3 linked regions of the Ovis aries genome follow. The protein of the gene in region 1 purifies or fractionates together with the protein of each later gene. This does not show direct contact. Links are inferred from orthologs where the notes say so. Each region holds a gene or a part of one and is shown in the gene's direction. Other genes may lie near its edges. The genes, in order: LARP7, YBX3 and POP1.

Region 1 (3,653 bases):
ACATGATACTGTTAATTAGTATTGACTTTATGTACTGTTTTAAAGCTGGATTTAGAAGGCACCAGAATCAGGAGGAAAAAGCCACTGGGTGAAAGACCAAAGGATGAGGATGAGCGGACTGTGTATGTGGTAAGCCATTTTTCAGGAAAAGCTCGGAACTGTTGTCTCAACAGAAACATTGTAGTATTCAATTTAAATAAAGCTTTATTTTCAGTTGTTTTTAACACTTTATTATTACTAATTTATCATAGGAACTACTTCCCAAAAATGTTAACCACAGCTGGATTGAGAGAGTATTTGGGAAATGTGGCAATGTTGTTTATATAAGTATACCACATTATAAGTCTACTGGGGACCCAAAGGGATTTGCCTTCGTGGAATTTGAAACAAAAGAACAAGCTGCAAAAGCTATTGAGGTAGGTCCACAACCTAAAAGAAAGAGAAAGAAAATTACTAAGTGTTTTAAACAGTAACAGAATTTTGCATATTTCATTTCAGTTTCTTAATAACCCACCAGAGGAAGCACCAAGAAAACCTGGTGTATTTCCCAAGACAGTGAAAAACAAGCCCATTCCAGCTCTCACAGTAACTGGTGAGTTATTACTAAAGACTTTATTAAACATACATGAAGTAAAAATAAGTAATTAAAATAACATTGTTACAGAAGAAAAGAAAAAGAAAAAGAAGAAGAAAGGCCGAACAAAGAAAGACGACAATATCCAGACCAAGGAGTCAAATATGGACGCGAGCAACGAAAGTGTCTGTAAGAAAAGATCAAGGACCACATCTGAGAGCTCTGAAGTAGAGGTTACTGAACCCCAAAAGCAACCCACAAAGAAAAAGAAAAAACGAGAAAAAACTGAAGGATCCAGCTTACCTTTAGTCAAAGCAGGGAAGAGGAAAAGAAGCAGCTCTGAAGATGCAGACTGCCTCACTCCCAAAGCGAAGGTTAAGAAAGTGTCTCAGAAAGACAGCGTTAAAAAAGAAGCTCCAGAAGTTTGTAAAGAAAGCAAAGGTATTTCTGACTTTATGTTTAGGATTAGATAAGGAGAGTTTTCTTGTTAACTCATGTCTTTATTTCTTGTTAATTTAGAATTAGAAGTCTCTACGGAAGAGGAAAAGGATACTGGAGATATAAAGGACGGATCCCTACTGAAAGCAAAAAGAAAGCATAAGAAAAAACATAAAGAGAGGCATAAAATGGGAGAAGAGGTTATTCCATTACGAGTACTATCAAAGTAAGTCACCAGTACAAATTATATTGTTGGCAAATGACACACTCCATCACCATTGCTAAAGTGCAATTCCAATTTGAATTGAACAGAGTTGCATATTAGCAACAGTAATGGCCTGAAGCCATGATCTGCACAGAAGTTGCGAAATGTTGAGGTTTAAAAAGGAACCACCGCACTAAAACATGGAAGCACTTATTTTTTCTTGAAGTCACAGCAAGTGCCTCCATGTTAAAGTAGAGGGTATTCCTTAATAGATTTAAAGGTCCATCTTGAATATACCAAAGACCAGCAGTGTAAGTAAGTACTCCTTGCATTTTCTTGAAGATAAAATGAAAAAAGAAGACTTACCATCACTAAAACATGGAAGCACTTACTTTTTTAGCTACAAAGCAAGTACATCCACGTTTAAGTGGTGGGGAGCCCAGTCTTGGGAAAAATAAAAACGTGAATCTTAACCTGTAAAGTACATTTATAAAATAATCTGGGAACAGAATAAATGCCTGACAAACTTACATTAAGCAAAATGGAAATAACAATTTCACCGTTAAAAGGACTACTTGCTACATTTTCATTACTTTCAGAGCTTCATTAATAGCCAGTTTCAACAGTTTGTTTGGCAAAATGCCAGATCGTAAGTCCTTTTAAAGTACTGACTTGGAGACACCTCCACTGAAACATGGAAGCACTTACTTTTGCTTTACACAGCAGGTACCCCCATGTTAAAGCAGAGGGGATCCCCTTTTAGCTTCGATAAATTATGTAAAAGTTGCCATCTTGTATGCAGTGGCGTAATTTGGATTCACTTCTACTAAAACATGGAAGCACTTACTATTTCAAAAGTCACAGAAAGTACTACCATGTTAAAGTTAAAGGGAGCCCATCTTCTCAATAGGTGGAAGATAAGTAGAAGAAATGGCATACCTTTTAAGAGTTTCTTTCTTAACTTTCCTGGATTACAGTTTCCAAAGACTCCGGTTTTCCTCTTGGAGGGTTAAAAGGCAAGGACTTTGGGTACTTCTATTTATACTATTCTTAACCCCTGAATTCCTTTTCCCTTTTTATCTCAGAGAATCATTACAAGAGCCCTTTGTTATTCTAATGTATCAGCTCTCAGGGAATGTATGGTCCTGGGTGGGTCTGGATTTTTTTTTTTTTTTTTTTTGAAGTATACAGATGTCAATGTTAACAGCTAAAACCATTACCACAGATATTCTCCTCTTTAAAAAAAAAAAAAAATCCCCTATCTGCTTGTTTGATGGCTCAGATTAGGGTAACAATGAGTGCTCCTGCAGAGCCAGGAGAGGCATTGTGTTTCTATCTGGAGGAGCTCTAGCTGTTTGAAGAAACCTCTACACGTTAAATGTATGTAAATAAATAAATTGCTTCCATGGGGTGTTTTTTTCCTTCTTAGAAATTCCTTTGACTCCAGTAAATACTGAGGAATGTTACCTTTCAAATTGGAAGCAGTTTAACAAATCTTAAAATTTTAATTTTTCACCCAGAGTTAACTGACTTTTCTAGTTAAATGTTACTAGTTAGTTGACTCAGTGCTTTTATTTTTGTCAGTCACATATTTGAAAAATACTCAAGAATTGAATCAGCAAATATAAAACATTTAATCTGAATGTTGGGACAGAGGGAACTCCCCTTTTCTTGTTTGCCAGATAGACTTAGAACTCAGGAAATAATTTAAATGTGTTTAAAGAAAGATTGGGAGAATGAGTGGTTGTAAGTCACTGAATGTCTGTATTTTGAGACTTACTTTTTATTTAATGATCTGTTGTCACTGTTTAAAAGTACAATTATTTTCACTACAGAACAGAATGGTTGGATTTGAAGAAAGAGTATTTAGCACTGCAAAAAGCCAGCATGGCTTCTTTAAAAAAAACAATATCCCAGATAAAATCACAATCAGAAATGGAAACAAATGGAGTACCTACTAATTCCGGAATGAAAAATGAAAAAAGTAAGCATCAATATGATAGTTTTTGTAACATTATATTGTACTTATACTAAAACACACTGAGTTATTGTAGGATAAACTTTAGCTTTTGAAACTCAATTATATAGTGGTTGTTATTAAAGCAATTACTGATTCCTCAAGTTGTCCAGATATGATTTATCCTTAACCTAAAAATATTTGAAGGGCTCATTTTAAACTGAATCTTTTTTAATCACATAAATTTTCTCTATACAGTTTTCATTAGTAATCAAAATTAGTGATGAGTGCCTAGTCTGTAGTTCATCGCATTTGTAGAAACAAAGATGATCTTTTATATTTATATTTTAAATTCCCATAAGTTGAAAATATAAATTTCCACATTTGAATTGTAACGGTGTACCTATACCTGTTTATTTCTTTATTGAGTAAAACAATTTGTTATTGGTTCAGTGAAATGGGACATTTTTTCTTTAAGA
Region 2 (3,653 bases), on another chromosome or scaffold:
TATTTTCTAGGAAGAGAACATTATCTCAGTTATTTCCAGTGAAGAATATTCTTCCTGGTCTGGCATTCCTTTGCTCCAGTTGCTTTATATTTACCAGTTTTGCATTTCTTAAAGAAATATATATACATATTGCTCTTGAATCAAGAGAGCAGAGGTTGTGGAAGCACGCAAGCCGTATAGACATCCATTATTTTTTTAACTTTTTACTTTATATTGCAGCATAGTTGATAAACAGTGTTGTGTCAGGCGTCATGCTGTATACATTTAAATCAGGACATCAAGCATCTTGCTCACCTTATTAAAACGAGGGTGTGTTTTTGAGGTCACCTGTAGGAACTTCTAGTACCTCTTGCCAGTCTTAAACCCTCTGGCTGTCTAAGGCGGTGCTTTCGGTCGTTTGGCTTCTTTCTGACTCGAAGGCCGTCTTTGCTTTCTTCCTTTCTCAGGGTGCAGAAGCAGCCAACGTGACCGGCCCGGATGGCGTTCCAGTGGAAGGGAGCCGATATGCTGCTGACCGGCGCCGCTACAGACGCGGCTACTATGGCCGGCGCCGTGGACCGCCCCGCAATGTACGTTGTCTCCTTCATCATCAGTGACCCAAGAAATGTGCACATCTAAAATTAAGTGTGTATGTTTGAAGCACATAAAAGCTGTATCTTCTGCTGGAAACACAGTGATTTTTTTGGATGGGAAATTTTTCATGTTCAGAATTCATCCCCACTGGGCTTATGCGACATTTTTGCCATTCAGCAGTTTTATCCGTTTGTTTGCATTTGGCTGCAAGTAACAGCCATTTAATTATCATGTAACAAGAAGGCTTAACTTGGGCCATGCCAAGGTTGTCAAAAAGGTTTTTTCTTCTTTTGGCTCCTTTATCGGCCAGAACCGAACCATGTGACATCCACTGGGTGGGGTAGGGAGAAGGGGCCTGGGATTTCTGTGATTGGCTTACATCTGGTGTTCATCCCTTGGCGCTGACCCTGTTTATTTCTAAAGTCAGCCTTTCCTTGGCAAGGAATAGTGAGGAACAGCTCTGGAGTAAGTGATGGACAGTGCTGGCCACAGAAATATTAAGTGATTTGCCTCAATTATGTAACTTTTATTTAGGATAGCATTTCCCATTATTTCAAAGTTAAGCAACAATTAAGTCTGAATTTTTAGTCCTGTAGATTGGTACCAATCTAAGTGAAAGGGTTTACAACCAAGTCTGGCTGCAGGAGGCTCAGTTTAAAGTATTCTTGAGGCATCCAACTTGTGGTCATGAGGACCCTCTTAGATATGAGTCATTTTTTAATGTTTCTAGAATTAGTACCCGGGATTGGTACTCTGGAATAAAACTCAAGATGCTTTGTGAACACAGGATTGTGGCTATGTGCGTCATCCAGGGAAAACTTTTGAAAAAAGTCTCACCAGAATGAAGTATTTGCAGACTGAGAATGGTTTATATCTCTACACTTTGATAGAATAGTATGTTTCTGCTTACCTAAATGTTTCCTCTCTTCATTGTGTCATCTTAAACATGCAGCCCAAATTGGTTTTTATCAGATTCCATGTGATATCTTGTTTTTCTTCCTGTATTTCTCTTACCCATGTTTTGCTTATCCTGTTTAATTTTTAATAATAAACTGTGTCAGAGACAGTAGGAATAGGCTACCATAGCATCTACTACGTTGTGTTAACTCTTTCAGGTTCACCAGATTCACGGAACACTAGTTGTAATTGTTTTGATTTCTAGGTTACCTCAGAAGTACAAGTGGTAAAAAGCCTTTAGTGAAAAATTTTCCTTCAAAGACGTTTCTCCTCAGCTCGAAATTCTGAAGTCATGTGTGTGACGTTTAGAAACAAAATTATCAAAATTCTGAAAATCAACATAAATGAAGGTTTTCTGTTGTGATGTCTTCTAGGTCCTGACAGCTTCCTGAGTGTGTTTGGCAATGGTGGTGCCATTGTTGTTATTTTGTAAAACTAATCTTAATGAAAGATTTGGCTATAGAAAACTCAGATACAGAGAAACCTAAAGAGAAAATTTATAGTTTATTTAGTCACACTATTTGGCAGAACATTTTCTATGCTAATATGCCTTTAAATCATTGGAGACTGTATCTGATATAGATTTTATAAAGTATAGAGTTACTTGGATTTTCTGAAATTAGACTAGTTGAGGCTATGCTTGAAGCTTTTCCTCTTTGAGAATTTTGTTGCTCATGTGGGCTTGGTTTTCTGGAGAGTTCTAAATCTTAAATACTCTCACCCCCAACATCAGTCATTTAATTTTCTTCATTCTAAGTTTGTTCATTTTTTAAAAGCTATAGTTACTTTACTTAAGACTACCTTTGGCATTGCAATTCCCCTTTAAAGTAAGATTTGAAATAATTCTTTAAGGGATGTTTAGCTGTTTGCTTATATTTTTTGATATAAAATGTTAGTATGTGAAATGGTAGTTTAAATACAGGGAAAAGACAAAATGAATCAATAATTCCTTGTGTTAATAAAGTTTGTTATATTCAGAAACTGTATTTATTACTTGCTACTATGTATTAAAGTGCAATTAAAACTTTATTCCTAAACAAATAAAGAGAGGTATGCCATAAGTCAGTGGTTCTCAAACCTTCTGGTTTTTGGACCCATTTATATGCTTAATTATGGGATGCCAGAGTTTTTATGTATATTTATATCTATTAATACTTATTGTATTGGAAAGTAAAGCAGAATTTAAAAGATTTGATTTATTTTAAAATAAGCTATTACTTGAAATACAAATAACTTTTTTTTAATGAAAGCTAATTTTTAATTGAATGAAAAGAGTGGTGTTGCTTTAGGTTTTTGCCAATCACTGATGTTGGTTTAATAAAAGACAGCTGGTTTCTTACAGCTCCTTCTGCCTTGGTGCTGTGAGGGACCATGTGTCACTGTAGCTTCTGGGAGATCCAACCCCCCTCCTGCCCCCAACTCAGGAGAGAATGAGATGGGAAAAGACAGCATCCTGCCAGCCTTATGAGAATAGTTTGACCTTGATGACCCCCTAAGAAGGATTTCAGAGACCCTCATCCACACTTTGAGAACCCAACCACTCCAGGAAGCAAACCACTTAGGACCAACCACAAAATATACAAAACATATTTTTCTTTACTTTGCCCCAGTAGATGACCAGTGTTGGGGAGACACATTTGGTGGAGCCAAATATTCTAAACTGTGTAAATGTTTTTTGGGTGGTTAGTCAACTGATACTGACATTCTAACTAGATGCGAACTAAATTCTTTAGCGATTAATTGCACTTGCTTTTCTGCTTCTTGGTATTTTATCTGCATAGATCTGCTTTAATGTTAATGTAGCTTATCTCAGGTCATCACCTGATGATCCGGGGTAAATGCATTTTTGTCGATATACTAGAAGGGATCGTTCCTTTGGGGGAGAATTTTTTGTTTGTTTGTTTGTTTCGTTGATACTCAGCCTAAATGGTATTCTTTGCTTCTTTCCCTGCCGACACCTCTCTGAACCTCTGTTTCTTTGCTTCGCTAGTACGCTGGGGAGGAGGAGGAGGAAGGGAGCGGCAGCAGTGAAGGACTGGAGGCCCCCGCCGCTGCCGGGCAGTTCTCTGGGGCCCGGAGTCAGCCGCGCCGCCCCCAGTACCGCCCCCAGTACCGGCGGCGCT
Region 3 (3,653 bases), on another chromosome or scaffold:
TCATTTTACATTGCGGATCTGGGATTTGGAGTGATCAAGTGACTTGCCTAGGGCCACACATGTTGCTGGCGACCTACCTAGCTCTGGGAAGCCGACTCCCCTGGCCCATGCTTTCTCCACTACCATCACTCAGATTGTAAGGCAGACATAGTTACTCCTCATTTGGGGCAGAATTTTTGCTGAGGTTATCCCATACTTTCTTTACATCTGCCCTAAGTAATAAAAATAATAGCTAGTAATAAATATTTTTGAATACTTAATGTCTGTTTTAGTACTTTACATATGTTTACTCACTTAATCCTTACAGCAACAGTATGGGGTAAGTGTTTATTATTATTTCCATTTTACAAATGAGGAAGCTGAAGTACAGAGAAGTTGGGCAGTTTACCCACAGCTGTACAGCTAATGAGTGGTGAAGCTGGGATTTGAGCCCAGGTCGTCTGGCTCCAGAGTTCCATGCTCTTAACCATCATTCTCTGCTGTCAGCCAATTGTACACACTCTGCCGCTGACAGCTGGGAGTGGATCACTGTTGCTGGAAGATTTCTGTCAGCACAGATGAACATGAGTTTGTTGCAGCCTTTGCTGCACTTGGCATTTTAGTTTCCATGTGTACTGGATTTGCTTACAGGACCTGTGGCAGAGGGGTTAGCCTGGGGGTCAGTGAGCCTGACTCATGCCAGCTTCTCCACTTTCTGATGATATGACTGTTCAAGTAGCAGTCTCTGTCTCCATGTCCTCACCCGGCAAATAAGTTAATGCTGGCATCTGATCATCAGGTGTTGGGAAGATTAAATGACAGTCCAGTAAGGAGTTAACCCCGCGCTGGCACTCAATAACCTTTCAGTAACTATTAACCATTATTATATGTTTAACATAATTGATTTTATTAGCTCAGTCTGAGCTCTCTTCATCCTGTTTAAATCGCTAAGGCTTTATTCTCATTACTCACACTTTTCCTTGTACATTGCTTAGTCAGAGTTGGATGCCGTGGTTCATACTGAGCAGGGGATGGGGCTTCCCTGGTGCTCCAGTGGCTCCCAAGGCAGGGGGCCTGGGTTTGATGCCTGGTCAGGAAACTAGATCCTTCATGTCAACAGCTAGGATCCAGAGCAGCCAAATAAACAATATTAAACAAGCAAAAGAGAGAGACTGAGCAGGGGAGAAACGTGGGATAAATTGCCTCATGTGTCTTTAGGCTGAGTGTTGAGTAATCCTAAGGCCCTAAGTTAGCTAACCAAACTGAGCGTCTTTAACATCATTTTGCTGAATTTATTACAGTCTTGCTTATTCTACTTTGATTTTTCACTTGAGGTAGATTTTGGGGAGGGATAATCCTTAAAGGCAGTAGTTTTTACATACCACTTGGAACTTATCTGTGACTATAGGATAAAACACATACCTCCTTTCTGAAAAGTAAGACACTGCCACTTACATTTTAAGTAGAAATTCAAGTATTTAATTGTATCTCCCTCTTTTTACAGGATTTATCCTACTACTGTTGTTTGGAGTTAGAGGGCAAAGAGGAAGAAATACTCAAAGCACTTTCTTCAATGTGTAGCATAGACACAGGTAAACTTATTTCAGAGCTGAGTCCTGTTTAAGTCTGTATATTTATTCATTTCATGAACAAGTATCTTCTATAAGCATTTTGGCATTTAAACAGGATTTACGGAGATAGTTCTTATTCCTAACGAGTATATTCATGTAAGGAAAGCTTGGGGTACCTTTTAAATCATTTCTAACATACTAAGTATAAAGTGAGGGAACCATTATTCTGATGCAGTAAATCTAGATAGGAAGAAACTCAAAATTCATTAAATCATTTTCTCAACAAATTTTTATTGAGAACTTATCATGTGCCAGGGTTTGATCTAAGCAACAACCAAAACTAAAACCTCATCTGTTATGAAGATAGACAGTAAATGATCTTGGAATTTTGTTTTTGTTTATGTTAGGATTGACTTTTGCCTCGGTCCACTGTTTGTCTGGAAAGTGCCAAGGGAGTGTCATGCTTTACCGGGCAAATAAGTATCCCCTAGAAATGCTGGGCCCTGTGACATTTATGTGGAAGGCCCAGGGGACCCCTGGTGACACTTCTGAGAGCAGGCAGTTGTGGATCTGGCTTCATCCAGCTCTTAAACAGGTATAATCCTTGATATTATTTCTCATCACTTAGTCAGTGTATTCTTGATTACTGTTAGAAATGAGTGCTACAGAAATTTAAATAGTGTGAAAGTTTGACTGATTGCTTTGTATTGGAATATAGGGAGGATAGTTATGTTAGTATTAATAAGTGAAGCAAATCTTGACCTGACTTTTGGTAAGGCCAGAGTAGGAGTAGAGATGAAACCAGTCTTATACAAATGGCTTGAGATGGTGCCCTGGACTAGTGCTTCCATTATCCTTAACTGGTTCATTGGTATTCATGTGCTTGTTGGAGCCAGTTTGATGATGAGAATCTGTTTTGAGTGATTCTGACAATTTTTTAATACTGCGTTTAGCTTAGCTTCCCTCTATTAACACTCTCATTGCTTTTATACAGTAGATTGTAAATTTTCTCCAAATTCATCTTTAGACTAGTTTAAAAAAAATTTGGTCAGAGTAGTCATGTTGTTTTCATGAGTCTTGTACATTTAGGAGTTCTTTTTTTTGTTCTGTGTGTCAAGCACTACTCAGAGGAATCAAAAAAGCTTTTCAGAGGAATCGAAAAAGCTTTTTGACGATTTTAAATTTAGCTTCATTTGTGTGACATAGGAATATAAATTTTTACAGGTAGAAAAAATAAACTAAGCCAACTTAAACTTGTATTTAAATTCAGAGCTTAAAATGTTTGAATGTGTCCTTAGGATATCTTAGAGGAGATAAAAGCAGTGTGCCAGTGTATGGAACCTACCAAGACAACTGTCCGGACCCCAGATCCCCTTCTGACACCGTCTCAAGAGAAAAGCCAGGTTGACCTGCCTGAAGAAAAAGTCGGCAAGAAAAGAAAACGGAAAGATGATGGGGAAAATGCTCAACCAGTTAAAAAAGTCATCGGTGATGGAACTAGAGATCCACTTCAACCATATTCTTGGCTCTCTCCAGCCACAGGCATCGTGATCCGGTATGGGCTGAACCTACTCTGAATCTACTGAACATTTTCAGTGAAGCCGTGCTTTGTTTTTGTCAGTGAGACAGACATTATATGCAGTATAAAGCCCTTCTCTTTTCTTTCAGTGATTTGACTATGGAGATGAACAGATTCCGGCTGATCGGTCCTCTCTCTCACTCCATCTTAACTGAGGCGCTCAAAGCTGCTTCCATCCACACCGTAAGAGTAAACCTGATTGCATTGCTGTATTCTGGTCAGGCCCTCCTTAGCAAATTTGCGAAACCTAACATATAGTTTCGGAGAAGGCAATGGCAACCCACTCCAGTATTCTTGCCTGGAGAATCCCAGGGACAGAGGAGCCTTAGTGGGTTGCCGTCTATGGGGTCGCACAGAGTCGGACATGACTGAAGTGACTTAGCAGTAGCAGCAGCATATAATTTGGGAGCGTTTTTGGCCATAGCTTATACGTGTTTGTTTGCCTAGTCATGCTTATTATCAAAGACTTTATCTTTCACTTCTCCTAGAATAGCAAGTCTAAGTGAATGTAGCAAGTAAACGGA

The links.
Region 2: the proteins of LARP7 (region 1) and YBX3 purify together in Homo sapiens (affinity purification with mass spectrometry; 3 studies listed by BioGRID and IntAct, with this or other methods). This does not show direct contact. The link is inferred for Ovis aries from reciprocal best matches to the Homo sapiens genes LARP7 and YBX3.
Region 3: the proteins of LARP7 (region 1) and POP1 purify together in Homo sapiens (affinity purification with mass spectrometry; 3 studies listed by BioGRID and IntAct, with this or other methods). This does not show direct contact. The link is inferred for Ovis aries from reciprocal best matches to the Homo sapiens genes LARP7 and POP1.

What each region holds. Positions count from the first base shown.
Region 1 is NC_056059.1:13,380,811-13,384,463, reverse strand, and holds part of LARP7 (la-related protein 7), read left to right. Parts: intron 1-45; coding exon 46-129; intron 130-251; coding exon 252-416; intron 417-498; coding exon 499-592; intron 593-664; coding exon 665-1,015; intron 1,016-1,093; coding exon 1,094-1,238; intron 1,239-3,052; coding exon 3,053-3,201; intron 3,202-3,653. UniProt on the Homo sapiens protein: RNA-binding protein that specifically binds distinct small nuclear RNA (snRNAs) and regulates their processing and function.
Region 2 is NC_056056.1:204,575,053-204,578,705, forward strand, and holds part of YBX3 (Y-box-binding protein 3), read left to right. Parts: intron 1-446; coding exon 447-569; intron 570-3,520; coding exon 3,521-3,653. UniProt on the Homo sapiens protein: Binds to the GM-CSF promoter. Seems to act as a repressor. Also binds to full-length mRNA and to short RNA sequences containing the consensus site 5'-UCCAUCA-3'. May have a role in translation repression.
Region 3 is NC_056062.1:79,005,839-79,009,491, reverse strand, and holds part of POP1 (ribonucleases P/MRP protein subunit POP1), read left to right. Parts: intron 1-1,483; coding exon 1,484-1,571; intron 1,572-1,957; coding exon 1,958-2,145; intron 2,146-2,848; coding exon 2,849-3,105; intron 3,106-3,218; coding exon 3,219-3,312; intron 3,313-3,653. UniProt on the Homo sapiens protein: Component of ribonuclease P, a ribonucleoprotein complex that generates mature tRNA molecules by cleaving their 5'-ends. Also a component of the MRP ribonuclease complex, which cleaves pre-rRNA sequences.